Arabidopsis thaliana: one gene and its partners. The protein of the gene in region 1 purifies or fractionates together with the protein of each later gene. This does not show direct contact. Each region holds a gene or a part of one and is shown in the gene's direction. Other genes may lie near its edges. The genes, in order: AT1G60080, AT1G63210, SMU1 and AT3G46210.

Evidence for each region.
Region 2: the proteins of AT1G60080 (region 1) and AT1G63210 fractionate together in Arabidopsis thaliana (co-fractionation; one large-scale study listed by BioGRID). This does not show direct contact.
Region 3: the proteins of AT1G60080 (region 1) and SMU1 fractionate together in Arabidopsis thaliana (co-fractionation; one large-scale study listed by BioGRID). This does not show direct contact.
Region 4: the proteins of AT1G60080 (region 1) and AT3G46210 fractionate together in Arabidopsis thaliana (co-fractionation; one large-scale study listed by BioGRID). This does not show direct contact.

What each region holds. Positions count from the first base shown.
Region 1 is NC_003070.9:22,151,052-22,158,081, reverse strand, and holds AT1G60080 (3'-5'-exoribonuclease family protein), read left to right. Parts: upstream 1-3,438; 5' UTR 3,439-3,636; intron 3,637-3,729; 5' UTR 3,730-3,742; coding exon 3,743-3,902; intron 3,903-3,986; coding exon 3,987-4,036; intron 4,037-4,116; coding exon 4,117-4,186; intron 4,187-4,265; coding exon 4,266-4,371; intron 4,372-4,466; coding exon 4,467-4,533; intron 4,534-4,672; coding exon 4,673-4,748; intron 4,749-5,015; coding exon 5,016-5,323; intron 5,324-5,405; coding exon 5,406-5,477; 3' UTR 5,478-5,852; downstream 5,853-7,030. Other genes in the region: BGLU4 (beta glucosidase 4), read right to left, coding at 17-251, 332-458, 505-592, 673-704, 821-1,029, 1,105-1,220, 1,290-1,542, 1,622-1,709 and 5 more.
Region 2 is NC_003070.9:23,440,340-23,448,697, forward strand, and holds AT1G63210 (Transcription elongation factor Spt6), read left to right. Parts: upstream 1-3,348; coding exon 3,349-6,624; intron 6,625-6,697; coding exon 6,698-7,015; downstream 7,016-8,358. Other genes in the region: AT1G63206 (Cystatin/monellin superfamily protein), read left to right, coding at 171-204, 302-311. UniProt on the Arabidopsis thaliana protein: Transcription elongation factor that enhances the transcription elongation by RNA polymerase II (RNAPII).
Region 3 is NC_003070.9:27,722,496-27,732,065, forward strand, and holds SMU1 (transducin family protein / WD-40 repeat family protein), read left to right. Parts: upstream 1-2,495; 5' UTR 2,496-2,563; coding exon 2,564-2,589; intron 2,590-3,100; coding exon 3,101-3,311; intron 3,312-3,401; coding exon 3,402-3,554; intron 3,555-4,002; coding exon 4,003-4,051; intron 4,052-4,294; coding exon 4,295-4,378; intron 4,379-4,530; coding exon 4,531-4,634; intron 4,635-4,769; coding exon 4,770-4,856; intron 4,857-4,953; coding exon 4,954-5,007; intron 5,008-5,372; coding exon 5,373-5,468; intron 5,469-5,631; coding exon 5,632-5,756; intron 5,757-6,002; coding exon 6,003-6,129; intron 6,130-6,227; coding exon 6,228-6,287; intron 6,288-6,385; coding exon 6,386-6,493; intron 6,494-6,587; coding exon 6,588-6,688; intron 6,689-6,830; coding exon 6,831-6,882; intron 6,883-7,128; coding exon 7,129-7,227; 3' UTR 7,228-7,536; downstream 7,537-9,570. Other genes in the region: AT1G73710 (Pentatricopeptide repeat (PPR) superfamily protein), read left to right, coding at 1-1,670; EIL3 (ETHYLENE-INSENSITIVE3-like 3), read right to left, coding at 7,939-9,570. UniProt on the Arabidopsis thaliana protein: Auxiliary spliceosomal protein involved in splicing of specific pre-mRNAs that affect multiple aspects of development. Required for proper accumulation of SMU2.
Region 4 is NC_003074.8:16,973,770-16,980,457, reverse strand, and holds AT3G46210 (Ribosomal protein S5 domain 2-like superfamily protein), read left to right. Parts: upstream 1-1,541; 5' UTR 1,542-1,593; exon of another isoform or gene 1,594-1,874; intron 1,875-1,955; exon of another isoform or gene 1,956-1,958; 5' UTR 1,959-1,968; coding exon 1,969-2,074; intron 2,075-2,162; coding exon 2,163-2,276; intron 2,277-2,392; coding exon 2,393-2,493; intron 2,494-2,576; coding exon 2,577-2,597; intron 2,598-2,821; coding exon 2,822-2,894; intron 2,895-2,967; coding exon 2,968-3,035; intron 3,036-3,114; coding exon 3,115-3,247; intron 3,248-3,394; coding exon 3,395-3,498; 3' UTR 3,499-3,827; downstream 3,828-6,688. Other genes in the region: AT3G46220 (E3 UFM1-protein ligase-like protein), read right to left, coding at 41-88, 251-517, 609-920, 1,111-1,284. UniProt on the Arabidopsis thaliana protein: Probable component of the exosome 3'->5' exoribonuclease complex, a complex that degrades inherently unstable mRNAs containing AU-rich elements (AREs) within their 3'-untranslated regions.

The sequences.
Region 1 (7,030 bases):
ATAAACAATACGGAGTCTAGAAGGAAGAAGAGTATTTGCTCTGCAATTCCTTGATGCCTTGGGAATCAAGAAAGGCAGATTCACCCTTGAGAAAATCAGAGTACCAATAAGCAGAGAGTTTGGGAGATCTCTTGCGATGAGGATCGCTGAAATTGACAGTGTACAACCCAAAACCAACCTCATATCCCCCTAGAAGCTCGTATAAATCCATAAATGACCATACGAAGTAGCCTCTCGTGTCTGATCCATTCCTATACGTTGTAATGTATTTTTTCTTGATTACAATGATAAAAAAAAGTGAAGAGAAGAAGCAATAAGGAACTTTACTTACCTTATGGATTTGAGCACACCACCAATGTAGGCATGCAAGTATTCCACCCTTGGTATATCCTTCTGTTTCAGCTGCGAATCTTGCTTCATCGGTGTACCTATTTGTTGCCATTGGAAAGTGAATTTAGCTGAGGATAAAAAAAGAGAGAGATAGAGAGCGAGCGAGCGAGAGACCACTCTCAAGAATGTAGACAGGAGGATTTCCATAGCTCTGCTTTATATACTCCAGCACAACTTCCATAGCCCATGGAGTATTAGCATACTTGTTTAAACAAAAACAAAACAACTTAGTAACACTATTCTCTATCAAGACTAAAGAAATCTTAGCCTCAAAACTCCTACCTGAAAATCTAAACTTTTTCCAAAATCTGTCTCTCCCAAGAAAGAAAGAAGAAGAGATGATTAGCAAAAACAAGATATCATAAAAGAGAAAAAATCTTGTTTTGTTATTTAAAAGATTGAGTTTGATTCATACAATGAAAAGATACACCCATGTATGAGTAGAAATCCGGGTTTCCGGACAGAGAAGGTTTGGATTTGATGTTAGTGACAGAAGCCGCATGATAGTGTATGACTCCTACAAAGTCACATGAGCCTTTAACTTGTTCTGATTCTTTCTCAGAGAAAACTGGCAGTCTTGATCCAATGGTTCTTTTCATTGTATCAGGATAGTCTCCAAATAAAAGAGGTCTAAGGAACCTGAGTTTTAAAGAGTAAATCTTTTTTATTGAGATATGTTGAACAATATTTTGGAACAGTTTGTGCCTGACTCACCAGCCGACGTAGAAATCTTGGGCTCTTTGGGTTGCAGTGGCATCATCCTTGGAGCTTGTAGTAGGAATAAGCCCTAATATGAATAAGCTAAATCCTATGGAACCTCCCTGCTTATCCTGCATATTATATATACTTTATAGTGTGTTTCTTCTCACACATTCAAGAGAGGGTTATGTAATATATACCTTGTATTTTTGTTTGTATCGTCTTGAAACAGAGGCGTGCGCAAGCAACAAATTATGGCCTACAATATATGGTTCAATGGAAGAGTTCCCTGAAGAACAGTTTTTGCTCGGTTTGGAACAACGACCAGGCGGTGTATCCCCATCGTTGTAACCTCCTATAGAGAATATATTAGCCTCGTTGATCGTGGTCCATAGTTTGACATGGTTCCCAAACTCTCTGAAGCAAACATCTGCATAAGTAGTAAAGTCTTTGCTGCAATGGCAAATAACATCAACTTTTGTTATTTTATCTTAAACTACAAAATCTGTAAGAGAAAATAAGTAACGCCTACATCATTCTGTGGTTGAGCCATCCTCCATATTCATCCTCCAGAGACTGAGGATGATCATAGTGGTAGAGTGTAACATGTGGTTCAATTCCTGTAGTAAGTCTACTTAAACTCTAGTTAATACGAACTAAACCTAACTCTTGAGTCCTACCGTGGATATGAAGATAGGTCTTACCGTGGCTTACTAACTCTTGGATGAGGTTCTTGTAGAACTGTAGACCCTTTTGGTTAACAGGCCCTCTTCCATCTAATCAGATAATAAATTACGAACTGATCATAAATTTGATCCCTTCACTGAGCTATAACATGTTTAAGAAAACTTACTAGGTATTAGCCTAGACCAAGAGATGGAGAATCTGAAAGCATCTAAGTTAGTGTCCACCATCAACTTCACATCATCCTGTATAAATTCATAATGAAACTCAGGCTTGATGAATAAAACCTCATGATGTAGTCAGAGAAACAGAGAAGCTAAAGAACCTTGTACTTGTGATACCCATCACATGCTATATCTCCGTTACCTTGGTCACCTGCAATGTTAGAAACAAGAATCAAAGCACAAGAGTGACAAACTCTAATACTAATAATAGTTTGTGTTAAAATGAAAAGCTTACGAGAGTGACAAAGAGTGTCCCACAGGCTAGGTTTCCTTCCGTCTTCTGCAGCAGCTCCTTCCCACTAGTAGAGACCAAACATTTGGTTCAGTTTTGTTCAAAAGTTAAGAAAAAAGAAGCTCATAAATTGGTTCCAAACCTGATAAGCAGAAGTGCCGGCTCCAAAGACGAATCCCTCAGGGTAGTCAGATCTGCTGAAAACGTCGCTGCATTTCCCGGAGAAAGCAAAAGCAAGAAAAATGGCAAACAGAGCCAAAATCTGTTCCATTTCTCACACACACACACACTCTTTTCTTCGTTCCATGTTAGAATAAGTAAGTCCAGTAGCCATTTGCGTACCCGCTAGATATAGTTGTGACGTAGACATTAATGATGATGCAATTTAGATAAGAAACATATTGGGAAGTGTGTTGAAATGAATTATGGTCTTTATTTACTATGATAAGAAACAGATTACGCTGGATCGGAGCCCAGGTCTGACCAACCCAAATAACGAAAGAAACTAGGGGACCGGAAAACCATGCGGCTATGCAGCCCCAGCCCCACATATATGAGGGCTTTTGGGCCAAAAAAATATTTTTGGACTTTTTGTTACATTTCAATTTTTTTTGGGTATTCCTAAATTTTTGTTAATAGTATGGACTATGATATAATAACTTTTGAGGTATTAAAGTAAAAATATTTGGTCCTCTTATAAAGAAAAAAATATTTTATTTCATAAAACTTAATAATTATTACAAAGCATAAAATATTAAACATACATTATCTTAAAATTTTAAAATAGATGTGAAAAAAACGGAATAACGATAAGTTTTTCTGTTGATTGTTGCAAATTTCAATATACGAATACTTATAACGATGTTTTGAATTGAAATTTTCTACGAATACTTATAACGATATATATAGTAAAAGAGAAATTTCTTAACTTATAATTAAACACCATTAAGTAATGTATGGAGGATTAACAAAATTGGATATAAAACAAGAATGTATAATGTTCATTTTGACGCCATTTCTTCTTCTTCATATTTTACAATTTACACTAAACATTTTCCCAAATTCAGCTCATAATCAAGTGCGCCTCATATTTTCGCCAAATTCATCTAATTGAAAACCCAAATTTCAATATACTCATGTCTTGTGAAGCAAACAAATCTCTTATTTCGCATTTCTTTGGGCTTCGCAACATTATTGGGCTTTGTTTGGGGCCCATTTAGAATGAAGAAGTACTTTAGTTAAAAACTCAGATAAACCTAGCCGTCGTCACCGTCACCGTCTCCGTCGAAATCCCCATTACTTACGACACCGCGAGCTCTCAATCTTCTTCTTACACTCTATTGCTTGTGTTTCCTCTTCACTACAACAGTTTCGTGTACCAAAGGCAGTTCTTTCTTTTGTCCCAAGGTAAGCTTTGTGATTCCTTGAGACTGTGTTGATGAAGCACAGACTCAGAGACTTTTGGTTTATGATTCTCTTTATCTTTGTGACATGAAGCAGAGCTAAAGAAAACATGGGAATACCAGATGCAGCTCAAGACTTGTCGACAGAGATGGAAGTTGATGCTTTTAGAAGAATCTTCCCTCTTCGTTTCTTTGAGCGTCATCTCTCTGAATCTCTTCGTCCTGATGGAAGACAACTTGGAAAAGCTAGAGACACCATTGTTAATCTTGGTATAAACAATGAAGATTGATTCTTTTTAGTTTTTATCAAATTAAAAATGTCAACTTTATAGTGGTTTCTTGTGTTTGTTGTAGGACTTGTTTCAACTGCTGATGGGTCTGCTCTTGCTAAGATTGGTTCCACTGTAAGAACCCGCCTTAGTCGTTTCGATAGTATTCACATGATCAGCAATGTTTTGCTTACATAGTTGTTTCGTGTTTATAGACTATGCTTGCTGCTATTAGAATGGAAGTTATGACTCCTTCTACGGACTCTCCAGACGAAGGATGCATAGGTTGTTATCTCGTTGTCTTGTTCTCTATGTGGTTTGTTGTTCTTCTTTGGTGATTCATTTTGTGATTCCTTTTTGGTAGCTATTGAGTTCCATATGCCTCCAATTTGTTCTCCGACTGTTCGTCCTGGAAGACCAGCCGAAGCTGCTCCCGTTATTTCAAAGCGTTTGTCTGATACTATTTTAAGGTGTGTTTTGGTTTGATCTTTCTCTTTATATTTTCTCTGTCTCATTGAGCATCAAATACAATGTTCCTTCTAAAAGTGTTTCTTTTTTGTTCTAGTTCTGGTATGATTGATCTTAAAGAACTGTGTCTAGTTAGTGGAAAAGCTGCTTGGATGGGTTATCTGGTGAGTACTCGTTGGTCTTATATCGGTGCTTGTCCGTCAGTTGATTCACATCTATTCTTCTAGGGATCTTTCTCTTTGATATTTAACTGAGTTCTCTAGCATATATATGAACATTGTTGCTCTCTGAAATTTCTCATAGGACATATATTGCCTGGATGCTGATGGTGCTCTCTTTGATGCTGCTCTGCTTGCTGCTGTCGCAGCCTTCTCCAATCGTAAGTTCTTCTCTGTTCTCATCCTTTAGTTGGTTTCACAGCTCCTTTAGAGAACCTTTGAATAAAGCTGATTCTCAAGTTTATCAAATCCATTTCGAATATGAGTAAAAAGAGCAAGCCTTAGAGAACACTTAAATCTTGCTGAGTGAGTCATACCTGAGTAATATTCTTCCCTGCACAATAGCGGTTTGTTCAGAAGTTGTGTGATTGGTGTTCCGAGACAGAAGAATTTTTCCTCTGATGCATAAAATATCTTTTATATTGCAGTGCAAATTCCAATTGTTGCTCTGAATGACAATGGAAGAATAGTTGCCGTCACTGGAGAAAAAGATCAAGACAATGCTTTGATCACCGAGAAAGAAGCAGTGAACAAGGAGAAGAGAAAACTTACGCTTAAGAACATTCCTTTCTCTTTAACTTGCATACTTCACAAGAACTACATCTTAGCAGATCCAACAACCGAAGAAGAATCGATCATGGACACTCTTGTGACTGTTGTTTTGGATTCCTCGGATCAAATGGTTTCTTTCTACAAATCAGGAGGAGCTGCTCTCGCCTATTCATCAGCCATCAAGGTGAGAGTTTTAGCTTTCTCTTAGGTTAATCCACCACTTGATTTACACCGTTTTTTGTTTCTTATAAAGTTGCTATGCGCAGAGCTGTGTCGAGTTAGCAAGGAAGAGAGCAAAGGAGCTTAAGCAGATATTGGGAGAGATGGATATCGACTAATTTATCAGATGGAACGATTCCATAACATTGTTGAAATTTTGTGTTACATATTTTAATCAGATCACCAAGTTACCCATTTAGAGGCAAAGGAAGAAGCTCTTCACCATTTTTGTTCGATTGTGTTACGGTTTTGTTTGTCATATAACGACTTTAATTTAGTGCTAGTGTAAGTGTGAGATTATATTATCTCCATTTCAAACGAACCGAAATGTGCGTAAGCTGATTAATTTTACAAATGTTCAAATCAAAAGCAATTAACAAGTTTGTTTGTTGACCACCATCGCAAGTTTGTTTTTGATTAGGCTTTTCTGAATTTTTTTATGTTATAATGTAAGGGTATGTTAAAATATTATTCCATTTAAAAGAGGCATTGTAACAAGAACCATTCTGAATCTGTGAAAGAAATATTCCATACTAGACGAGGAAAGTCCTCGAGAGACTAATTAAATACTAAATAACATAAAATCATTCTGAATCTGTGGAAGAATCATATGCTAAGCGAGGAACTTCCTCCAAAGACATGAGACTCTCAGTGTGATTATGATAATAGCGGACCTCTCTTACATTTTTATGATTAAGCTTCCAGAATTCTTCGTCACCAATTCCTTCATATAATCATATTTGACCCTCCTTACTAGGGTTCTTTTTGGATCATAATATAAGACATAAATTGCTTCAGATGTTGTTGCAGCTGTATAAATAAACTCACCAGTGGATCATGAGTAATACCTCTCAGCCCCCAAGAAACTTTCCAGATCGGGTCACGTTGAGGAAATTTTCTAAGTGACCGTTCTTGTTTCTCTTCATCCTCCAAAACCCAAAATCATTTACCAGAGACGTCGTCAGAGCAAACCCATGCAAATTTTCCTTCGTAGTTGAGGAAAAATTTGCAAAGTAAATTATCAGCCGCTGATTTTCTTATTGTGTTGAACTTTTCGTACCTCACATCGAAGCTCATAAGGACTTTCTCAACTTCAGAACTATCATCGACTCCAAAAGGTATACTCGCTTCATAATACACTTCCCCGTTGATACATATACTTTGTATTAGTCCCTCGGCGGATAGAGGGACATGTTTAGGGGTATTTTGTGTCACTCTCCATGATTCTTGAGGTCCCAAAGTAAAAACAAGAGGATCTTGGTATCTAGAGCATGAGATGCACAAGACTTTATACTTACCCTCGACCGGATCATATCCTAAAGAGCTACATTCAAATGCGACTTTTGGTAAGGTAACATGTTGTCTCATGATTGGATTCCAAACTACAATATGCCCCAAGAATCTCCCAAACATATCAAGCCATGGACCGACTGGGACCATTCGTGATAATCAAATATGAGAGTGTCTTTCAGATAACGCTCCACATGTGGATAACATGATCTGTCCGGATTTTCATGTTGGGGCATTGCGCAGAAAATACGCTTGTCACTTGTTTTCACGCAGACCAAAAGACACAACCTAGTTGAAGACTGACTCGCGAACGACCTGATGAAATCTGGATGAGTGGTGATTGATGACCATAGCTAAGAGACCCAGTGGAACCTCGCAGCAG
Region 2 (8,358 bases), 1.3 Mb from region 1:
TTATTGTTGTTCTCTTCTTTCTACATGACGAATGTAATCCTTCTATTAGGCCACATTTTTGTTTATGAATCAGCAATTACGGTGTGCATTTGTATAATTCTTTCTCTTTTGGATCATCCTCTGCATATATGACTCTCTTTTGTAACGGTAAAATTTGATTGTTTTGTCAGTCAAATGCGTTGGATCTTCCAAGACACATAAAAGGTAAACCCGTCGTTTACTTTTGATTCATCTCTTCCTTTATGTTAATATACTCTCGAATCTCTTTTAATCTGTTCTCTTATGTTCATGATTTTTGCAGCTTGGCATAGGACCTTATGCGATATCCAATGTGGTTTTCTTGGTGAGCAGTGAGCTAAATTAGTGTTCATAGTTTATGGTAGAATTGTTCACTTATACTAGAGTACATGTGGCGCTCTAAGATATCATGTCTTGGGATACATTCGGACTAAGCTTCACCGATGTTCACCTATACTAATCCGCAAAAGTAATTGTTTCCGTATAATATATAGCCAGCTTTTGGATTGATCATAGATTTGTAGCAAAATCCTGTTTTTGTTTCTTATATTCTAGAATGATTTTGAAATTGGTTATTATTCTATGTTTCTTTAACTATGGTCTCTGGAGTGCGTTGGAGACATGAGGGATGTCAAAACTAGAAATTAACTAAGGGTCAATTAAATATCGATGCCAAAAGAAAAAGAAAAAAAAAACTTTACAAAGGAGTATTTCACCTTTCTATTTATTTACTACAATATATTATGAAGAGTTTTAAGGAATTCAAAGAGTGATTCATAGGTATGAACAAGTGGTAGATAAAAGATGATGTCATAATCTTAGATATCTTTTGGATATAATCATAGTTTAACAATTAGACAAGAGAAATTCAACTTCCATAAGAGGTCTTCTTCAACAATATAATTAACATGTGCTCACTATTTGTTTCGGATAAATAATGCATTTAAATTTTCATACAGAATTTTCCAAATATATTTAATTTATAATGGTCTACGGTAGATGATTTCCGATGTTTTTTTTTTTTTTTAAATTGACAACGTCTGATTCCAATTCACGAAAAACGCATTGCACCAAAAAAAAAAATTCTCCAAATTATCAAGGCATTAATTGGTTAGAGAACATAAAACAGAAAATTGATTGATGTCCAAGATGATAGGTATTTAGGTGATTACTAATTGTAATCTGGCATTCTTGATGAAGACAACACGTTTTGCATTTTTTTTCTGATAAAAAGTCTTCAAATTAAAATGCCAGGTTACAAGACCACAACCTTTTGGTTGGATTGGGTCATGTGGTTTAGAGAGCGAAGAGATTAGTGTTACAGCTAATCGAGAAACTGAATAACAACATAAGGATGAGAAGATGAAGTAAAGAGGGGGAGTGCATGTGCATTCTAAATTACTAGAAAACACTAATTGAGTAATTGTAATGACCACGGGTCCACGGCCTTCTCGACCACCAACACGTTTTGCATTCTTGAATGACCGTGCTTTCAAAATTTGCGTGTACGTAGCATGTGAACATAGAGGGTTACAAACTTGCATCACTTTTTAAAAAATCATCATGTGATAGCATAAGATGACAAAAGAGAAACGATGTAACAAACAATATTGTTTTTGGTTATCCAGTGGAGATGATTATACTAATATATTCTGCAGAATCACTCTATTTTTGGACACCTTTTAGCCAATATTAGAACAATATCTATTGGAACCCACCCAACGACACGTCTTCACGAATTTCTCAACAAAAAAAAATACTTATACCAAAAGCTAATTTTGTTGAGTGTGATTTTCAAAAGTAAAATGGTTGAAAATTCAAGACACTTCTTTTCATGAATTAATAATGCATATACAAACTCCATGTGATTTCAGTCCGTTTGGTTTTTCCATTTTTTTCTCATTTTTCGTAAATAGAAATAACCTCTAAGTATTCTATCGTGTAAGAAAATAATTTAAGTCTAGAGAAACACCTAACCTTTAAATTAAAAATCATTAATTTTATAGAATAATTTCTTTTTTTTGGCAACGTTAAGCGCCTTAATAACTAGGCTTAAATTAAATCCTTTTTTCAAAAGATGTGATATAAGAAATTATCAATAGTAATTTGGTTTGGTGTTGGGGGAGTGAGTGCCCGTTGTAGTTTTGATCAGTCTGGCGTTTGCTTCCGGTTTGGTGCTGTTTGTGCTAGAGTTTCTAATTGGTTCGTGCTTCTAGTGATCTAGCAGTCTCTTCTAAACACTTGTCTTTGGCTCAAACTCGGTTTCTATTGATTCAAGTGATCGTCGGTCTGGTTTGCTTCTTTACTTTTTTCAGTTCTTAGGATTCATTATCCCATCCTCCGTTGTTTGCTTGATCTTTTTTTTTTTTTTTTTTTTTTTGTTTTGCAATTCTTAATTGTTATGGTTTTTTGTGCTATGAATTTTATTAAGTGTTTTCGGTAGATTCTGCTTTAGTTTTCGAGAATTTCTTTGTTTTTTATAGGTTTAATATTTTAAAAATATATTTCACCTATATATTTTATCATTAGTTTATATAATGAAAAAATTAGTGGAAAAAAGAATTATCAATATAAATTTGTATGAATATGAAAAATAAATCTCTTAATGAATCGAAAAAAATACCAAATATATTAATTAAATATCAGCTAAAAAAAGAGTTTCATAAATATTTTTAAAAATAAGAAATGCTTCAAAACTTCAATTAGTAGCCTCTTAATGCTGGTGTGAACCCTAGAAGTACGAAAAGCCTTTTTCTTTGTTTCTCTTCGCAAAATTCAGAATCAAATAGAGACTAGTTTTACGATCACAGAGTTTCTAGGGTTGATCTCCATCTTCATCGATTTCGTATAGCTAAATATTCTAACCTAGTCATGAATAGGATCGACGAAGGTACATAAAAAGCTCTGCTTTCAAAAGCCCTAAATTCTCTGTTATTATTATTTTTCTAACGATTCGACTCTGTTTTTGAGACAGAGCCCCAGATTCATGAAGATCCAGTGGAGAACCGTGAGGAAGATGATGAAGACGAAGATGATCAGTATGAGTTTGACGATGGGTTTTTAGTGAATGGTTCTGATGATGGAGAAGAAGAAGAAGAACAGAGACATTGTAGTGAGAAAAAGAGTAGAAGTCGAAGGAAGAAAGACGAATCCTTTACTCTTCACGAAGATGATTATCTACTTCTTAAAGATAACAACGACACTTTCCAAAGAAACAAGTATAAACGTTTGAAGAAATCTTCAGAGGAAGAGGATAAGATCAATAATGATGATGATGATGATGATTTGAGTCACTTCATTGTAGATGAAGATGATCATGGTGCTCAAGGAATGAGGAGGAAGAAAATGAAATATAAGCAAGGAACTGATTCGAACGCTTTACGATACGCTAATGATGTATTTGGTGATCCTGAAGAATTGTTGAAACTTCGGAAAAAGGATTTGAAGTATAACGAAAAGATCGAAAGAAAGTTAGAAGATGAGTTTGAACCAATGGTTCTCTCTGAGAAGTATATGACGGAGAAAGATGATGAAATTAGGAAGCTTGATGTTCCTGAGAGAATGCAGATATTTGAAGAAGCCATTGGAATTGTTTCCCTAGATGACATGAGCATTCAAGAAGAGAGCAACTGGATTTATGCTCGATTGCTTCAAGAACAAGGGCAGGGTTGTTTGATTAATAAGGATGACATTGTGAAGTTTTTAGAGATGTTTCATGTGCAGAAGTTAGAGATACCGTTTATAGCTATGTATCGGAAGGAGCAGTGTCGGAGTTTATTGGACAGTTCTGATGATGATCATGATGGTAGTGATTTCAATCTTGACAAGAAGCTTGAGACCAAGTGGCATAAAGTCTTGTGGATGATTCAAGATTTGGATAGAAAGTGGGTTCTTCTGCGGAAAAGGAAAACCGCGTTGTTTGGTTACTATACCAAACGTTTTGAAGAAGAAACCTGCATGTCTGATCTGAATAAGAGTCTTTTTGAATCTGTTATTAAGTCTCTTCAAGCGGCGGAGACAGAGAGAGAAGTTGATGATGTAGACTCAAAGTTCAACTTGCATTTTCCTCATTGTGAGATCGATGAAGGACAGTACAAGAGGCCGAATAGGAAATCGCAATATAGCATCTGCAGCAAATTTGGGATTAAGGAATTTGCAAACAAGTTTGGTTATAGCGCTGAGCAATTGGGACTAGCGTTGTCTCTTGAGAAAGTTTTTGTTGATGAGCTTGAAGATGCAAAGAAAACACCAGAGGAGATGGCATTGAACTATGAGTGTGCAATGTTTGGAGATTCTCAAGCTGTTCTTAAAGGTGCAAGGCATATGGCTGCGGTTGAGATAAGCTGCGAGCCATCGATTAGAAAGTATGTTCGTGGAATTTTTATGGAGAATGCAGTAGTCTCAACGAGTCCAACACCAGATGGGAATGTGGTTATAGATTCCTTCCATCGGTTTTCTGCGGTTAAGTGGTTAAGCGAGAAGCCATTGAGAAAGTTTGATGGTGTACAATGGCTTCTCATTCAGAAAGCAGAAGAGGAGAAGCTTCTTCAAGTAACTTTCAAGCTGCCTGAGAATCAGATGAATAGGATAATTAGTGAATGCAGTGAACACTATCTAAGTGTTGGTGTTAGTAAGTATGCTCAACTCTGGAACGAGCAGAGGAAATTGATACTGGAGGATGCGGTTCATGGTTTTGTTTTGCCGTCAATGGAGAAAGAAGCAAGATCCTTGCTAACTAGCAGAGCGAAGACTCAGTTGCTTTCAGAGTATGGACAGGTTTTATGGAACAAAGTGTCTTCAGGGCCATATCGAAGGAATAATAATACCTCGGAGGAGGAAGCTGCACCGAGGGTCCTAGCTTGTTGTTGGGGACCTGGAAATCCAGAAACTACATTTGTGATGCTTGATTCATCAGGAGAGCTGGTTGATGTGCTTTACTCAGGTTCCATTGGATTGCGGTCTCGGGATGTAAATGACCAGAAACGTAAAAAAATGGATCAAGATCGTTTTCTAAAGTTTATAAGAGACCATCAACCAGATGTTTTGGCTTTAGCAGCTGTTAATTTGAGTTGTGTACGCCTGAAGGATGAGATTTATGAGGCTATATTCCAAATGGTGGAAGAGCTGCCGTTGAATTATGTAGATGATAGGATTTATGATTTTCCATTGGTTTATGCGGATGAATCTCTTCCTAGGCTATACGAAAATTCTAGAATCTCAAGTGAACAACTACCTCAACAAGCAGGAATTGTGAAACGCGCAGTTTCTCTTGGACGTTATCTCCAGAATCCATTAGCAATGATCTCAACTTTATGCGGTCCAGGTAGAGATATTCTGTCTTGGAAGCTTCATTCTTTTCAAGATTTTCTTGATCCAGATGAGAAGTATGAGATGGTTGAACAAGTTATGGTTGACATAACGAATCAAGTTGGAATCGACATTAATCTGGCTGCGAGCCATGAATGGCTTTTTTCTCCTTTACAGTTTGTTTCAGGTCTTGGTCCTAGGAAAGCTGCATCTTTGCAGAAGTCTCTTGTTAGAGCTGGTTCGATATTTGTCCGCAAGGAACTGATAAATCATGGGATTGGTAAAAAGGTATTCGTAAATGCAGCTGGTTTCTTACGGATTCGTAGGAGCGGGTTGGCTTGTAGTAGCAGCCAATTTATTGATCTGTTGGATGACACTAGAATACATCCCGAATCATACGGTCTTGCGCAAGAATTGGCGAAAGATGTTTATGCTCATGATACTGTAAGAGGTGATGAGGATGATGCAATAGAGATGGCGATAGAGCATGTGAGAGATGAGCCAGCTTCTTTGAGGAAAATCGTTCTTGATGAGTACTTGAGAAGCAAGAACCAAGAGAATAAGAAGGAAACTTATAGTCTGATCATGAGAGAATTAAGCTGTGGATTTCAGGATTGGCGGAGTCTGTTTAAAGAGGTTGATTCAGATGAGGAGTTTTATATGATTTCAGGTGAAACCAAAGAAACTATTGGTGAAGGGAGGATTGTGCAGGCCACTGTTAAGAAAGTGACAAGTGGTAAAGCCAAATGTGTATTAGATTGTGGATTACCTGGGATTCTCTTGAAGGAAGATTACTCAGATGATGGTAGAGATATCGTTGATTTGTCTAACAAACTGTGTGAAGGCGATATCGTTACTTGCAAGGTCAAATCGATTCTAAAGCAAAGGTATCATGTGTTACTTGTCTGCAAAGAAAGCGAAATGAGAAAGCACAGGAATCTCGGGGATGTCGATGATTATTACCACGAGGAGAAACGAAATAGTGTCCTGATAGAGAAAGAGAAAGTTCCTAAAGAAAAGAAGCAGTTTAAGTCTCGGATGATTGTTCATCCTCGGTTTCAGAACATCACTGCCGAGCAAGCAACAGTGTATTTGTCTGATAAGAATATTGGAGAAAGCATTGTTCGTCCAAGCTCACGAGGACTGAATCATTTGACTTTGATGATCAAGATTTCTGATAATGTGTATGCTAACAAGGAGATAATCGAAGGTGAGAAGGAGAACAAAGATATAGTGAGCTTACAACGTATTGGGAAAACACTGAAAATTGGGAATGAAACCTTCGAGGATCTAGATGAGGTTCGTCTTTATATTCTTACAAAATTTCAGTTTTGGTACAAGTGAAAATACTTATGCGTTTTCAATATTTCAGGTAATGGATCGGTATGTTGATCCTTTGGTAACTCATCTTATGACAATGCTAAACCACCGGAAATTTCGGACTGGGACAAAATCGGAAATAGATGATCTTCTTCGGGTTGAGAAGGGTGTGAATCCGAAAATGGTAGTTTACAGTTTTGGTGTTTCTCATGAACATCCAGGGAGCTTTATATTGTCTTACATACGATCCGCAAATCCGCACCACGAGTACATCGGTCTATACCCTAAGGGATTCAAGTTCAGGAAAAGAATGTTTGGGGATCTTGATAAACTGGCTGCTTATTTCAAGAGACATATCGATAATCAATGAACTTGAAGGTACTATTTATCATGTATTCATGAATTTTTCCACTCCTTAGCCCAAAGAATTTCTTAGACTGATTGCTTGCTTTGCAAGAAACCTATATGGGAAATAATAGTTTTGTTTTTGGAACGTTAATTAGGTCTGTTGTTTAGTAGAACTATACAAGTATTCAACTTAAATTTCGTCAAAAGTGTGAAAGATCCCACAAGAAATGTGAAGAGACGAAAGATTTAATTAGTTAGCTTTGTTTATTGCGGACAGAGTGTTGTTTTCAATTCTAACATCTCTGTTTTGTTTCATGGGTTTTTCTTTTCCGTTACTTTTGGGTTAAATGATTGTTTTTAGATTCATTTATGTAACTAATGATGTTCTCTTACTTTTTTTTTTGCAGATTGATTTTAAGGTATGGTTTTTGCTGATGTTTGGTTCAAGCACAAGAGCTACTTTAGTATAGTTAACTTTATATCAGTGACTTTTATGTTGACAATTCAATTACGCCATGAGTCAATTTACTTTTTCCTACTCTCTTGTGTTTGTTTATCTTTTCCTTACGTGATCAATTTTTAGAAATTAGTACTGTTTAGGTTCCCAAATTACTGTACAGTAATCATATTCAGAAAGAAGGTTGTTTGTCCAAAAGAACTAGAGTAAAACGTAGTATATCATTGTTATAAAGAAGATGTAAAAAAGTTTTAACAAAAAAAAGCCTAATCGGTGGAACAAGAAAAGTGATCAAATTAAGATTTGTAGCTAGATTTAAATGACTTCAATGTAAACTTTAACTAGAGTCAAGAAAAGAAAAATATATTGAAAAACTATTCAATTTAGATTATTTTTTTGTTGCCTTTTAGCATATGTACATATACACATAATTTATTTCTCAGAATATAATATTTATTAATTTCAATTGCCAATTTTTCATCCATTTATTCTTACTATAATTAATCAATCTAAATTTATGAATATTAAGAATTGTAACAATTTAAAAAAAAAAATTGACCAAATTTGTAAAGTTTTATGTTTTAACATTTACTATTTTTCATTGCAATATATGAAAATATATGTAACGGCCTATCTAAGAGATCCTGTCATTAAGATTTGATTTGGTGGTATATCAAAATCATTGTGCTTTTCCTTATGAATAATCTATAAAAAGTATAAAATCATAGGATTGATTTTTGTTCATTAGTATTTTTTTTTCTATGTTTTTATTCAATACTAGTATTCATCATTCATAAAAAAAAAACATAAAACAGTGCTAGAAGCCTAGAAGAGGAAAAAAATCTTAATAAATCAAATTTTATTAATAGATTAATTTGTAAGTCTCATTAGGAAAGATATAACATCTG
Region 3 (9,570 bases), 5.6 Mb from region 1:
TGGACAGAAATAGCATTCGCATTGATGAGCACTCTGTTCCTGTTATTATGCAGATGTATGTCAATGAAGGTTTAGTCGTACAGGCAAAAGCTCTGTTTGAGAGGTTCCAGTTGGATTGTGTGCTTTCGTCAACGACACTTGCAGCAGTTATTGATGTCTATGCTGAAAAGGGACTGTGGGTTGAAGCGGAGACTGTGTTCTATGGGAAAAGAAACATGTCAGGCCAGAGGAATGATGTTTTGGAGTACAATGTCATGATCAAGGCTTATGGTAAGGCCAAACTTCATGAGAAAGCACTTTCTCTCTTCAAAGGGATGAAGAACCAAGGGACTTGGCCTGATGAGTGCACTTACAATTCCCTATTCCAGATGCTTGCTGGGGTTGATTTAGTGGACGAAGCCCAGCGGATCTTGGCTGAAATGCTGGATTCGGGCTGTAAACCTGGATGCAAGACCTATGCTGCTATGATAGCTAGCTATGTGCGGCTTGGCCTGTTGTCTGATGCAGTTGACCTGTACGAGGCAATGGAAAAAACAGGGGTGAAACCGAATGAAGTTGTTTATGGTTCCTTAATTAATGGGTTTGCTGAGAGTGGAATGGTCGAAGAAGCGATTCAATACTTTAGAATGATGGAAGAACATGGCGTTCAGTCCAATCATATCGTTCTGACTTCCCTTATCAAGGCTTATAGCAAAGTGGGGTGTCTTGAAGAAGCTAGGAGAGTGTATGACAAAATGAAGGATTCAGAAGGTGGCCCAGATGTTGCTGCATCAAACAGCATGCTAAGTCTGTGTGCAGATCTTGGCATAGTTTCTGAAGCAGAATCCATTTTCAATGCTCTCAGAGAAAAAGGCACATGTGATGTTATTTCGTTTGCAACAATGATGTACTTGTACAAGGGCATGGGCATGCTCGACGAGGCTATTGAAGTGGCTGAAGAAATGAGAGAGTCTGGTCTACTAAGTGACTGCACTTCATTTAATCAGGTTATGGCTTGCTACGCTGCTGATGGGCAGTTAAGTGAATGCTGTGAACTGTTTCATGAGATGTTAGTTGAAAGAAAGCTCTTGCTGGATTGGGGAACATTTAAAACGCTCTTCACGCTCTTGAAGAAAGGTGGGGTGCCAAGTGAAGCTGTGTCGCAGCTACAAACCGCATACAATGAAGCTAAACCACTGGCAACACCAGCAATCACTGCAACTCTGTTCTCAGCCATGGGTTTGTATGCATATGCGCTGGAATCATGCCAAGAGCTCACAAGTGGTGAAATTCCTCGCGAGCATTTTGCATACAACGCAGTGATATACACTTATAGTGCATCAGGAGACATTGACATGGCCCTAAAGGCATACATGAGAATGCAGGAAAAAGGTCTAGAACCAGATATTGTCACGCAAGCCTACCTTGTTGGGATATACGGGAAAGCGGGAATGGTGGAAGGTGTGAAGAGGGTACATAGCCGGCTGACGTTTGGGGAGCTTGAACCAAGCCAATCGTTGTTTAAAGCAGTTAGAGATGCTTATGTGAGTGCAAACAGACAGGACTTGGCTGATGTGGTGAAGAAAGAGATGAGCATTGCTTTTGAAGCTGAAAGGGAGTGTAGTTCAAGATCTGGAGAAGAAGAAGAAGACGATGAAGAGGAAAATTCTGAAGAAGACGAGGCATTTTGAAGTGTAGCCACAGATGTATGTAAGAAATATTGTAGAATATAGGATTTAGTGGAAATGGACTGTACAGTTTCACAGAAGCCAAAGGAAATATGCATACTTAAGCCTCAGATTGATCTCTGGTAAAGAAATGTGTATCTTAAAACTGTTATAGAAAGAAAAAAAAAGGTTCCACAGGGTCAAATCTATAAAAGCGAGCACCTTTGGCTATGGTTTTGGTAGAGGAATTAGCATACGCTCCTTACAACAATAGATTGATTTGCATCATCGGGTTGGTCTTCTGTTGGTTTTGGTCTCTGGATTGAACATCTTTCTCCTGTCTTGCTTGCTCTTATTTTCAATTGTATAGCATCAAAGCCCATGAAAAGAGCCAGATGTTCTGGAATTGATTCCAATTTGGAATCTTGTCAGTTACTGGTGATGAATATCAACATGGAAGATATGAAACAGAGTAGCCAGCAAATTCCTTCCATTCGGAACAAAGAGTCTCTCAGCTTCAGTCAAAGTATATCAGTTATTGATCTCAAGAAAGTAATAGTAGTGAGCAATGAAGATGATGATGGAGCTCTAGAGTTGAAGAACAGAGGAGTGGAACGAACCAGTGGAGAACTCTTGAAGACCACAGTGTCAATGTGTTTATTGTTGTCTTTGTCTTTCTCTAAAAGTTGTAAAAAAAAAGGGTGTGAAGCTAAAGCTAAATGGTATGTAAGCAATGTTTTGCAATTTTAAATTTACAAAATAACACTCGGAGTTTCTGAAAGTTTAATTTTGACCCATAATATTTGATATTTGAGGCATTGTCCTGGAATTAAAACCAAATTGAAACTCCTTCGCGTGTGTTTTCTGCTGCATTTTTACCTCTTAGCGTCTCCGGCGAAAACCCACTACGACTGAGTATGGCGCTCGAAATCGAAGCTCGAGAGTAAGATTTCGCTTTCTCTTACAAACCCTAGTTTTCGTTTAGTGTCACTGATATGAATTGTGCTCCAAGAACCATCGTTTACGAATGCTCAGATGGATCTTAGGTTACATGTTTGGAGAAAACATCTTGAATGTTGGTTTTTTTATATCCTCCATACTAAAGTTGTGGTTTTTAAATCTACCCATAATTTGTTTTAGCTTGGTTCTTCTAAAGCTAATTGCTTCTGAATATCTAGATTCCTCCGTAGCTATTCTTCGTTTAAATTAACGTCGTATACGAAAATTTGAGGGAGATCATCGTTAGAGTGTTTTGATTCTTTGCAATGCGTCTCGAGGAAAAATCCAATTTGTATAAATTTGAACTCTTGTTAATTCTCGGCTTGGATTGAAACCATTGACAGTATTATTAGCCATTTTGTTAGTAATATTGGATGGAGAACGTTTTGATGCTATATGTCAGCTTTGTGTAGATCTTCATCCCTAATAGCTCTCTATTGTGTTGAATGTCTCAGTGTAATAAAGATTATGCTTCAGTTCTGCAAAGAAAATTCCTTGAATCAGACATTCCAGACATTACAAAGCGAGTGTCAGGTTTCCTTGAATACAGTAGACAGCGTCGAGACGTTTATTTCTGATATTAATAGTGGAAGATGGGACTCGGTACTACCTCAAGTTTCCCAGCTTAAACTTCCCAGGAATAAACTTGAAGACCTTTATGAACAGGTTTGTTCTTTTACTCTGTGAAATGTAGAAGTGTATAAAAATAGTGATTGTCATTGTAAGTTTTGTTTATTTTCGGGGTGATTTTTTCAGATTGTATTGGAGATGATAGAACTTCGAGAGTTGGACACTGCCCGAGCTATTTTGAGACAAACTCAGGTGATGGGTGTCATGAAGCAGGAGCAAGCAGAAAGATATTTGCGGATGGAGCATCTTCTAGTCAGAAGCTATTTTGATCCGCATGAGGTATGGAAACTATATTATGCTCGACTATTCAATATCACGTTGGGTGTTGCTTTTGTTGTTGCTGTGTCACCTAAGCATGGTTGTCCGCAACTGTTCAACAGTTCAAACAATGTTGCTATATCTGTTATCTCTTGCATTTTCTGTACTCTACTTGCGACTTTTGATATCTTTCAAAATCTTAAGTAGAACCAGTGAGCGGTTAAACATGAAGTTGTTTCTAGATGAGGGTCTCAAAGTATAACACATGCTCGTATTTCTGAGTACAAAAGTATCTTTACATGTTACTAGCTCTTTTACATGTTGATGGATTTGACTTTTCTATCTGATTAGTCTTTTGAGGTGTATTGTCTCCTAGTCATTGTTCATGTTATGCACAAAGAGTGGCGTTTTTCATGTAATCATTTCCTTGTGATAATCATGGTTTGCTAATTTTACCTTTGTTTCTAAGGCTTATGGAGACTCAACTAAAGAAAGAAAACGGGCACAGATTGCTCAAGGTTGGCCATTTCTTCTTTATTTTCTACAATAACAATTTTCTTCAGTTATTGTATGATTAATTACCTGAAGGAACCAAGTGATGTTCTGGAATACTCTCTCTATTGCATGCTTAAATATTATTATGACATGAAAAGAAGTTATGACGAGAACTTATTTCCTGTTTAATGGTTATAGAGTTTTTGTTTTCTCTTGCTCAGTATGTACTCAAGGTTCACTAATTGTTTGTTCTCCTACTCGATCAGCTGTGGCTGCCGAGGTTACCGTGGTACCACCTTCACGGTTAATGGCTTTGATAGGTCAGGCTTTAAAGTGGCAACAACATCAAGGTGATTATCTAAGGAACTGTGGATGCTACCAAACAGTTCTGTCAAACTTCATCTCGTTTTCTTTTACTTTTTTGCCTACATTACTAATATATCAATGGAATCAACATATGTACCCTCTCTCATTTCCTAAAATTTACATACACTTGTGTCAGGCCTGCTCCCTCCAGGAACACAGTTTGACCTCTTTCGTGGGACGGCAGCTATGAAGCAAGATGTAGAAGACACACATCCTAATGTTCTTACTCATACCATAAAGGTTCATATTCACACTTTAATAGCTTCTTTAGCTTAGTGGTCTATGATCTGTTGCTCATGATTATTTTGGGTTTTCTCATCAGTTGAGTTCTTGTCTAATTTTCATATCTTTTTCCTTGTGCTGGTGCTGGTGCAGTTTGGTAAAAAGAGTCATGCAGAATGCGCTAGATTCTCACCAGATGGACAGTTTCTTGCATCTTCTTCTGTGGATGGTTTTATCGAGGTGAGTTGATCCGGAATCTGTATGTATGATAATACAAGTTATTAGTCTTTAAAATAATTCTGTGACTAGGATTGCTCAGACTTGAAAAGCATTACAGGTATGGGATTACATAAGTGGAAAGCTCAAGAAGGATTTGCAATATCAAGCTGATGTAAGCTCTCATGTCTTCTTTTCATTTTTTAATTCTAACTCAGTACGGGGTCAGATGAGCTGTTAGTACATTTTAATCAAATGAAAATAATCCTTACTGCATCTGATTATTGAACGTGTGACAAGTCTGTGAGAATGATATGGTGGATTACTTTTTGCTTTTTATTCCAAAAATGTCGCCCATGAGATTCCTGAAGCACCAAGTATATGGTGGATTACTGTTATCTTTGAATTTTAATTTTTTCTCCAATGTAACTCCTAAAGCACCAAGTATCTCGTCTGAGACTTCCTGGTATACAAAATATCAGTTTTGGATAAAGAGTTCCCATTCCATCCTCTTTACTTACTATGATTAATTTCTGACAGGAATCTTTCATGATGCATGATGATCCTGTCCTCTGCATAGACTTTAGCAGAGATTCAGAGATGCTTGCATCTGGGTCACAAGATGGAAAGATTAAAGTAAGTTCCAGCTGCATATGTTTCCTTAAAGTTGAATTTTTTGTCTGAAGATAGACTATTGCGGCAGTTTGGTAGATATATCTTCTTCCTCTCATTGGTCCCATATGTATTCTGATTGAATACAAATAGAAAAACTAGACTTAGATGCATGTCACTTTTGCAGATCTGGCGTATAAGGACTGGTGTATGCATACGTCGTTTTGATGCACATTCCCAAGGAGTTACAAGTCTTTCCTTCTCTCGGGATGGAAGCCAATTACTGAGTACCTCCTTTGACCAAACTGCAAGGTTTTATTAGTTATATCTTTATTTTTTTATTTTGTACTTGCGATATGAATCTCGTCCTATCAAAAACTTGAGGCTTTATATTTCTTTGATGGTAGAATATTCTTTTAACTTTTGATTGCATCTTTTTTCTTCTTGTTTTTGTTAATATTTTCCTTTTCATTTGGTAGTTATGTAAGTTTATTGGTAGAGCTTCTAGTCGAATATAATATCAAATTCTTATTATATATTTTGCTTTATTTTATGCAGAATCCATGGTTTGAAATCTGGGAAATTGTTGAAAGAATTTCGTGGTCACACATCTTATGTAAATCATGCCATCTTTACAAGTGATGGAAGCCGTATTATCACTGCCTCCAGTGATTGTACAGTAAAGGTAAATTCTTCGGCTTTGGCTGTCAGCAGTATCATTGTTTCTCATTTGGACTCTCTGCCCCTTCTGCCGTGTAATAACAGTCTTGTTTCCTTGCACAGGTCTGGGATTCTAAGACGACAGATTGTCTACAAACATTCAAGCCGCCACCTCCGTTAAGGGTATCTTTTCTTATACAGATTTATGTACATCTTGTAATACTTTTTCTGATCTTCTGTGGCAAACTCTTTGGTTACCAAGTCTGAATTTTGAAATATAGGGAACTGATGCATCAGTCAACTCTATTCACTTGTTCCCCAAAAACACAGAACACATTGTTGTGTGCAACAAGACATCATCTATATACATTATGACACTCCAAGGACAGGTAAATTTCCAGCAACGGTCTCCTGCAAATCAGTGTCATTGTCATGCCAAAACTAAGATTGTTCACATGCTTCTATATTGGAATCCTTTTGCAGGTTGTGAAGAGTTTCTCATCCGGTAATAGGGAAGGAGGAGATTTTGTAGCAGCATGTGTATCTACAAAAGGAGATTGGATATACTGCATCGGCGAAGACAAGTAACACTCTAACCTCCTATATCTATCGTTTTATTTTTGGATAAGTTCCACGAGTTTGATTTCAAAGGATAATCTTATGGTTCCTTTCTTTTCGGGTTTCATCTTCTGCCTTTGATGTTCGTAATGGTGTTTGCACCTACAGGAAACTGTACTGCTTCAACTATCAATCTGGTGGACTTGAGCATTTCATGATGGTAAGTTTATATCCGTAACAGACATGCTCCAAAAGATTTTGGATGTTGGAAATTTGAAAGTTGCATTTGAGACAAACACATAACAGTAACTCACTAGAGTAATGAAGTCCCTTGTGTGTTATAATGTTTGATTCATCTGTTCTCCATTTTAGAGCTCAGATTATCATCCTCTCTCTCTCTCTCTTAATACTTATCTTAGTTGTCTTTTATTAGACCTGGTTTCTGAATAGTTTATGCTTATGACAGGTGCATGAGAAGGATGTGATTGGTATAACACACCACCCGCATAGAAACCTCCTTGCTACCTATAGTGAAGATTGCACTATGAAGTTATGGAAGCCCTGAGTTTTCTCATCATCAAGTCTTGTTTTCTGTATGATTAGTCTGTCTTTATTTGATTTGCACTCTTCTCGGGTTAGAACTAGTGTAATGTGAAACCATCTTTGCAAAGATCTCAGCCATTTTGGGAACACTACCCACAGACTCTAAAACCAGCATTTCAGATTTTAAGACCGTTTCACCTGGCCTTGAGCCTTGTAGTAGTTTATTTAACAACGTGTCTCCTTCCTCTTTGACCTTCCCAGCCAGTCAACTCCCATATACTTTTTAGTCTTAGGAAAGAATAAAGTCAAGCTCAAAAATATATAAAAAAAAATGAAAACTTGGGAAGTTCAAAAGAAACAAATAATGATTCTCTTAACTTGATGAATTACTCACAGGTAAATTTACAAATGATGATACGCTAACTGCTTTCCCTAGAGACCATTACAACGGGCAAAGCAGTTCTTCTGGCAACTTATTCAAAAGGAAAATTGTTTCTCTTAACAAATCTAAGAAAATATTATAAGAAAAAAAGAGGAAGAATATAAGATCAGAAGAAATGAAGAAGAGAAAGTAACTGTACTAGCCAGACTATTGCCATGTCCTTTTGAACCTACAAAAATAACAGTAAAACAAAATACATCAAATCTATAAACTAAGATCAAATATATGAGATGGTGTTGTGTAATAAAAAAAAAACTTACTATGTAATCTCCCAAAAAAAATGGCAAGACACTAAGCTCCAAACCATGAGAAATCATCACCAAAACCACCATAGTCAAAGTCCAAGTCAGTCAATGGAGACAGAATGCCACTCTGATACTGAGGCAACTCACTCCCTGTTACACCGTCTTCATTTCCGAGTAAACCAAGGGGTTGAAGTACTCCTCCTGGGGCCTCCTCGAACCCACTGTTGTGAGGTGGTGCTTGTGTATTCATTTCTATCTGTGTATGGAGAATGTCGTCTTCCTGGTTATGTACAAACACTGCAGAGGGATTGTAGAAGTTGTACCCTGACCCAAATTGAAGCTCTTGGTTAGGGTTTGGTCCATAAAGCATTGGCCTTTCGTCTACAGGCATCATAGTTTGTTCATTAACAAGTGGAAGATAAGTATAGTTGTTATTGAACTCAGGAACCACTAGTTCCAGACCATTATCCTCTGGTCCTAAGGCAATATTTGGGTCGACAACATCGTCCTCTTGATGAGTACCGTTGATGTTATATTCTAGCAGAGGGGCATCAACATGATTCATATCAGGTAAGATGTTTCTTTGTTGAGCTTCAGGTTGTTCTTCCTCTTGTCGATTGACAGTTCCGGATCTAATTCGAGGTCTTTTCCTTCTGCGATGTTTCTCTGCTTTATCTTGATCTCTTACTGAATGTGAGATGGCTGTTGGTTGTTCTTTTTGAATCTGATTTCTTCTACTGTCTTTAGATGAAACTGAACCTGAAGCTTCCTCTGTCCCATCAACATCATAGTCACTGTCACTGTTGACCACAGGTTTCCTCCTGTCAGCGTTATTACCCCTACGATGTGTCTCAGTCACATTGGAGTTTCCATTGTCACTGCTAGGCTGCTGAATCAAAGATTCCTCTTGGTTCAAAACCGCCAACCAAATCGCACTCTCTTTAGCTGTCATCTTGTCCTGTAAACATTTCGACTGACGAACATGCCTCTTAATCTTTGCAATATCAGGTAACATATGATTGATCACTGCCGTTAAAACTCCAACCTTCCACATCTTCTTGAGATCATGAGGTTTTCGGTAAGGAGGACTCTGGCTTTTAGGCAGACCGAGTTTCACCCACCATTCTTCATTCCCCGTTGGCCACCAAGGCGGAGGCGTCCCTTTCTCCAACGGATACTTCCTTTGAGGAGGATCACAATGTTGCATCAAAGAAGATAACAAAGACCCTAAAGTAGCATCTTGCAAATCCTGGAGAACAAACTGTGAATTCCTATTCCCATCAGATTTCCCAAACGCTAAACACTCCTCTTCGTATTTAGCAATAGCAGCAGGACCGTTCTTATCAAACTTCACTTTCTCTTTCCACCAAGCTCTTATATTGTCAGAGGAACCACTCACAGGCTTGCCCTTTTCCGGTATTATACCATAGACAAACCCGCGAACTTTGCAGACTTCCATAAGCTTCAACATGTACTTAAGGATACCATCTTGAGCTCTAGACATTTTCTTCCTCTGAGCTTGATCAGAGATTTTCTTAGGTGTCTCCTTCGTTTGAGCTCCTTGAGAGCCAGCTTTTTGTCGCTCTTTGATTCTTTTAAGCCTGACACGATCTTTCCACATCCGTCTCTCAAGGTCGTCAGCATCAATCTCTTCATCACTCACATCAATCTCAGCAAC
Region 4 (6,688 bases), on another chromosome or scaffold:
AAACGGACTAAAGACATTTCAGATAAAATGATGACCAAACCTGTGAAAAAGAAGAGTCTACGCATTCCTTTTGAGCAGTTGCAAAAGCCTGCCACCAAAATCAAACAAGTTACTCTAATGAATGGTAAACATGGGAAACATCAAGCATAGACAAGAGTGCACTCATGAAATTTTGAAGACTGTCGTAAATTAATAGAGTGGTAAATCCATTCGTGGCAGAAACCCAAAAGATAAGAATTTTATGACATACACTAGGAGTCCAATGGGTTCCAGCACGTAGTGATCCAAGCATCTCCTCTTCCTTCAACAGTCGGTTAAATATAGACTGGAAAAATGAATTCTCAACAGCAACTCCACTGGCTCCATTCGTTTCTTGTACCAACTGTTGCAATGGTGCCCACAATGCCGACAAATTGGAAGGAACAAATATACCCCTGGAAGCACCTCGAACCATAGCGGTCACACGTTCTACATAAGCAGGTGTATATAACTGTCCACCTTCTAGCCTAGCTTTCACCTAAAAAAGATTGAAAAAAAAATCCATAAATATAAAAGTTCACATTCACTTAAACACAATCTGGAAAGCTCAAGAGGAGAAGCACAATTACCAAAGTTCCAAGTCGAGGCTCTAAAACCGATTGCACCAACTCAGAGCCAACCTGTAACTGACCAGCAAGTTCAGCCACAGCAATTTGGCTACACTCTTGAAGCCTCTCATTAATTTCTTCTGCAATCGAATCCCAATAACTTTGTGATATTATTTCTCCCTGAACTAACATTAACCCTGGATCATTCAACACCACATCTTGTGCTTGCTTCTCCACATGATACAAATCAACCCCAATCGTATCTGCCAGATCAATAACAGAGACACGTCCCAATTTACTGATCTCACGAGTAATTTCATTCCTCAATTGCTCCTGAAACAAATCAAGATCAAACAACTTAACTTCATTTTTTCCGATTAAATTCCTCATGCAACAAGAAGAGTTAGCAATTTTTCACTCCATTAACACATTACTCACATCATGATACCAGAATTCTATGCGAAACCCAGTGATGATTCTTCTGGAGTCTAAATTCACACCGGAAACGAAATAGAATCAGTACCTGAGTGATGTATTCTTTTCCGGTGACGGTATGAAGCAGATCGAAGTCAATAACGCCAAGCTCCTGAAGCTTCTGAACCAATTCGACAACATTTCGATCCGACAATCTCACGCTTGACTTCACCTGTTGAGCGAACTCGAACTGACGCTGCAATTCCAACAATTCATCATCCATCTTCCTCTTCGCGTTATCACCGGAATTTGAATCTCAGATCAAAATTTGATATCGTCGATGCGTCGGATTTTTTCCGTCAGTTATACACAAATTCTTCTCCGGAAGATTGATTATGTTCAAACACCGTATTAAGTATCTTTCCTCAATTGAGTTTACTGGTTAAAGTTAAACCAATGTTTGAATAACCGGATTAACCGGTTTGTTTTCGGTATACTCTAATTGATTTGAAATTGAGGGTTTTGAAACAAATAAACCCTAATTCTTCGAGTTTCTCTCCTCTGGTGGTTTCAGTTGTTCTTCCAGCTTTCAGTTCCGTAGCTGTGTATTCTCTCTTTCGTTAGTCTTCTTGTTTGATACGGAATCGTCTCTGCTTCTAGCTTCCTCAAAATTAGGTTCTTAGTCTAGCTCTGTGTTGATTCGTGTGTCCTTTTGTTCATACATCGTCTTTTATGTGCTAGATAACGAGTATTGTAGAATTGAAAGAACGATTTTTTTGTCTCAATTAACAAAAAAACTACTCGGATGTTGGTCAGAACCATTAAAATACACCTACTGTTGAGCTAGAAGCAGTTCAAATTTTGTTTTCAGTGGTAACAATTCACAGTTATAGAATCTGAGAATTTGATTTTGTGACAAAAGATGCTTACTTTGTGAAACCCTTTTGTGTGAAGAAGTATTGTAGCAATGGAGATTGATAGAGAAGATGGAAGAACACCAAATCAGCTGAGACCTCTTGCTTGTTCCCGTAATATCCTTCATCGTCCTCATGGCTCTGCTAGTTGGTCACAAGGTACTTGTTTTAATCTCCATGTTTTTTGTTTGTTTGATTACATATATCAGCACTTTCTAATGGGTATGCTTCTTGTTTATATTTTCAGGGGATACAAAAGTTCTAGCTGCGGTTTATGGACCTAAAGCAGGAACGAAAAAGAACGAAAATGCTGAGAAGGCTTGTTTTGAAGTCATATGGAAGCCTAAATCCGGGCAGATTGGTTCGTAAATGCATTTAGTTTAATCATGTCTGGATGTTGTTTTGTTGCTTGAGTATGCGGTAGAGGTGATTCTTGGTTTTTAGATTCTGACTGACTTTTACTTTGCATAATGATAGGAAAAGTTGAAAAGGAGTATGAGATGATATTGAAAAGGACGATACAGAGTATTTGTGTTTTGACTGTTAATCCAAATACCACCACCTCAGTGATAATTCAGGTGAGTAGCTATTTCATTGTTGTATATATCGATTTATCAACTTGAGTTGTATCTGAACTTTTCATTCTTTGATTCCTGTGTAGGTTGTGCATGATGATGGTTCTGTATCCTTTTTATGATCCTTGCCTTTTGGTAAACATTTACTGATACTGTGTCAAACACATATAATCCAGTATAAGCAATCTTGGTTTTAGTATTTTTAGAGTTTTTAGCAGTGAAAGTTTGTAGTCCCATGAGCTGGGAGTGTGAATATGTTTTAGTGGAATAATTGGTGCATTACTTTAGAAGACAGTTTTTGCTGCTTTTTCCTTGATTCAATTCTGTTTAGCTTCTACCATGTGCGATAAATGCAGCATGTGCAGCGCTTGTCGATGCAGGAATCCCTATGAAGCATCTGGCTGGTACATTTACACTCTTCTCTAATTGACTTTGTGTGTTACTTCTTACTGTTTCATCAGCTTTTTGTTTTTTCAGTTGCTATATGCTGTTGCCTGGCTGAGAATGGATATCTCGTACTCGATCCAAACAAGCTTGAAGAAAAGGTTATTTAAAAGCCTTGTTGTCCATTGTTATATTTTCTTTTGCGTGTTGGTTATACTTACTTGAAACTGCAATGGACAGAAAATGACGGCCTTTGCTTATTTAGTCTTTCCAAATACAACTCTCTCTGTTCTTCCGGAAGGGTCATCAGTAGCGGAAGGCGAGCCAGTAGAGCATGGGATCATCACATCAATTACACATGGAGTAATGTCAGGTACTGATCAACTTTCCTTTCTTGAATAGAATTCACTATGGTGTATTATGCTCATACATTTCATTTGTGTAAGACATGTTTTAAAGAACTTGTTTCTCTCAATCACTGCATCATCTATAATTCTGAATTCTTGCCTTTTTGTTTCAGTGGACGATTATTTCCTGTGTGTAGAGAACGGCCGTGCTGCTACGGCTAGTTTATCTGCATTTTTTAGAAAGAACTTCCAACAAAGTTCATCCAAGGCTGGGTAAAAGCACAAATTCATAATGGTTTGCATGAGATTTTGAAACGGTTTCATATTACTCCTGTTGTAGCTTTGATAGAATCCTTGTCGTCTATGTGTCTAATCAAAAATCAAAAGCTAGTGGCCTATTATCTAGTATCATTAGATATGTGAACAGATGAACCTCGTATCTTTAATACAAATGGTAGCCATGGTCAGAGCTATTGATTCATCACTTGTCTTGACAATTTTTCAGCCCGTGGGGATCAGATTCGAGTCAATTATAAAGAACATGTTCATGGATTATACTGTAATTTACTAGAAAATCTAGTATAATTTCTAATAACAAGAGCAGATGAGCTATTTATTTCAATTATCCAACATATGAGATGAACGATAAGCACAACAAGCTTCAACAATATTGGGGAAAGTAGTAATGAAAACAAATTGGCCCCTTTCTGATCAATAATACTCCATTACTCCTGATAGTTGCAAATTGGATTAAAGCTGGTTCAATAATCATAGGAAGGCCCGGACAAATTTACGGAACCGAAACAACTGAACTGGAACTGAAGTGAAAAGAACCGAACCGAACCAAACTAAACTCATCGAATAGTTGAGATATAATACTGTCCTGAAATGTTGCCGTGGATAAAAGAAAACCGCCCAGTCCGAACCTAAATTGAGCCCGCCCATAAAAAACTCAAATTCAAAAATTCCGAAAGTTTTGGGACTTGTGGATAAAACTCAGAAAAACACATGTGTTCCAGAACTACATGTGGGTATCCGAATTATATAGAGATATATTTTCAATTGTATTTATTTTCTGTTTCTATATATAGATATATTTAAATTATATTCAGTGTCATATGTATTTACTAGTATCATATATACTAATATTATGAATTTTACATATAATCATGTATTTATATTTTGTATAAACAACTTTATTTGTTATCCTTAATTATATTTTAATTCTCTATTTTCATCCAAGTTTCTAACAAATTTGTAAACCCAAATCCACTCAAACATTAATAATTTAAACGATTATACAAAACAGAGTTTCATCAAAGTTTCTAATTTAAAACAGAAATACAAAAAGTAGTGAAAAAAATCTAAACAACTTCTTCTCATACTCCACAACTACTTGCTATCGATGTAATACCTTCAATTCTATCATTAAAGTATTCTTCAATGTCACCTACAATTTAAATATATAAACCAATAAATAAAAAAATTAAGTATAAAAAATAGACTATTCTTTTTTACCTTCTAACTCTGCAAAACCACGTGGTCAGTTTCTAGAACATAGTAAGGCTTGAACAATGTCACGTACAATTTAAAGATATAAATCAATAAATAAAAAAAAATAAGTATAAAAAATAGTCTATTCTTTTTTACCTTCTAAGTCAGTTTTGAATATTTTTAGTACGTAGCAAGGCTTGAACATTTCTAGAAAGGAGGCGATTTTTGAAAGGGATCAAAACCCGACCTCCAATACTAAATGATGACTTTGCTGCCACTTTGTGTTGCTTCTCGTATAATAGGCCAATTATAAAATCAGAAAAGTAAATTTCATTTCACAATTTTATTCCTAAACACATAAGAAAAAATATGATTAATTTTTGAGAGAACATATCAAACAAAATATGTATTATGTTGAAAGAATTAAATAATTTTACATGGATCACAATACATTTTCAAGAAAACGATTACATATAGGAGAAAAGCTTTTCTAGTTTTTTTTTTGTTTTTTGGGTTTTAACTGAAGAGAATTAAATTATTATTTTTAGTGACTGCAAGAAAAGAAAGAAAAACAAAAGATTGTTAGTTTATAGGAAATTCCCACAAATAGCAACATTTCAAGTTTTTTGGACAAAAATAGCACTCAAAAGTTTTTTGGACAAAAATAACATTCAAATAATACATAAATTCATCACCAAAAATTTCAGACAATATTTTCTCGCTAAAACAATTTTCGTCAAAAATTTCTCGTAAAAAAATAGAATTCAGAAAGGATTTTACAAAATTTAGGAAGAATTCTAAGCATTACTTCTTGGTGTGTAAACTTCACAACTTACAAAATCCTGAGCTTAGTTTCTCTTAACATAATTTGGTCATTTGATCTTTTGTTTATCTATATTCCATCAGTCGATTCTGCAAGCATTGTAGTCACATTGTGAGACTTTTCTGTCCTTAAAGAAGTGGCTTCGAAGTCATTCATGCCATGGGAGATGTCTAAACTTTCACCAAAGCTTAAGGTTCATCTTTCCCTCTCTTATGGACATCTCACAAGTCATAAAGAGTCTTTCAAGGATTGTCTCAAGGTGGAGATTTATTGAGTGTGAGCCAACTTGAAAGAAACTTAAGAAGAAGCCTCTATTGGAAGCAGAGGGTCTCAAGTCTCAAGTCTTATGTCACATGAGTGCACGTGATGGTCCAAGACGGTGCGTTTCACCTAAAGAGATCAGAGTCTTCTAGAAGGAGATATACAAGGTGTGACTGAAGAAATAACAACATCTATTTATGACTTGTTATTTTTGCCCTTAATCTCTGCTTTCAACTAAGTGGATTTTTGCTATTGACTGAAGAAATAACAACATCTATTACTTGTGTTCTATGGAGTCTGGATGGCAGATTCATTGGTAATCCTTTATGCTATGTGTGTTTTTAATTAGTAGTACTTCATGTCTTCTCTCTCATTTTAAATATATTTTTGTAGGGGTTTCATTTAATAAGAGTTTGATTCATTTATATAAGGGGTTTGTGCAAAAAAAATGTTTCTAACTCATCTATGTTTTGCAACTTTACCCTCCATCTCCAACAAATGCAGATTAATCTTTTGAAGTCTAAAATAATACGCAATATGACCCTTATACGTATATTGTAGACGTTTTTACGTTCACATATATTAGATATTTAAAATTGTGAAGGTAGAGTTGAACACTTCGTCAAGAGAGCTTTGATTTAACATAATATATGTCAATATTTTACAAAATTGATGGTAGCAAAAGAAGGGCGAAAAAGGGTTACAATAAATATTATTTTAGACTTCATAGTATTAATTTGCATTTGTTGAAGGTGGAGGGTAAAGTTGCAAAAATAGATGAGTTAGAGGATCATCTTTCCCTTTATATAACCATGACTTTCTCCGGCATCTTGAGGTGGCTCGCTTGATCCTTAAACGATCATCTTTTCCATAAAAAATTGACATTTTT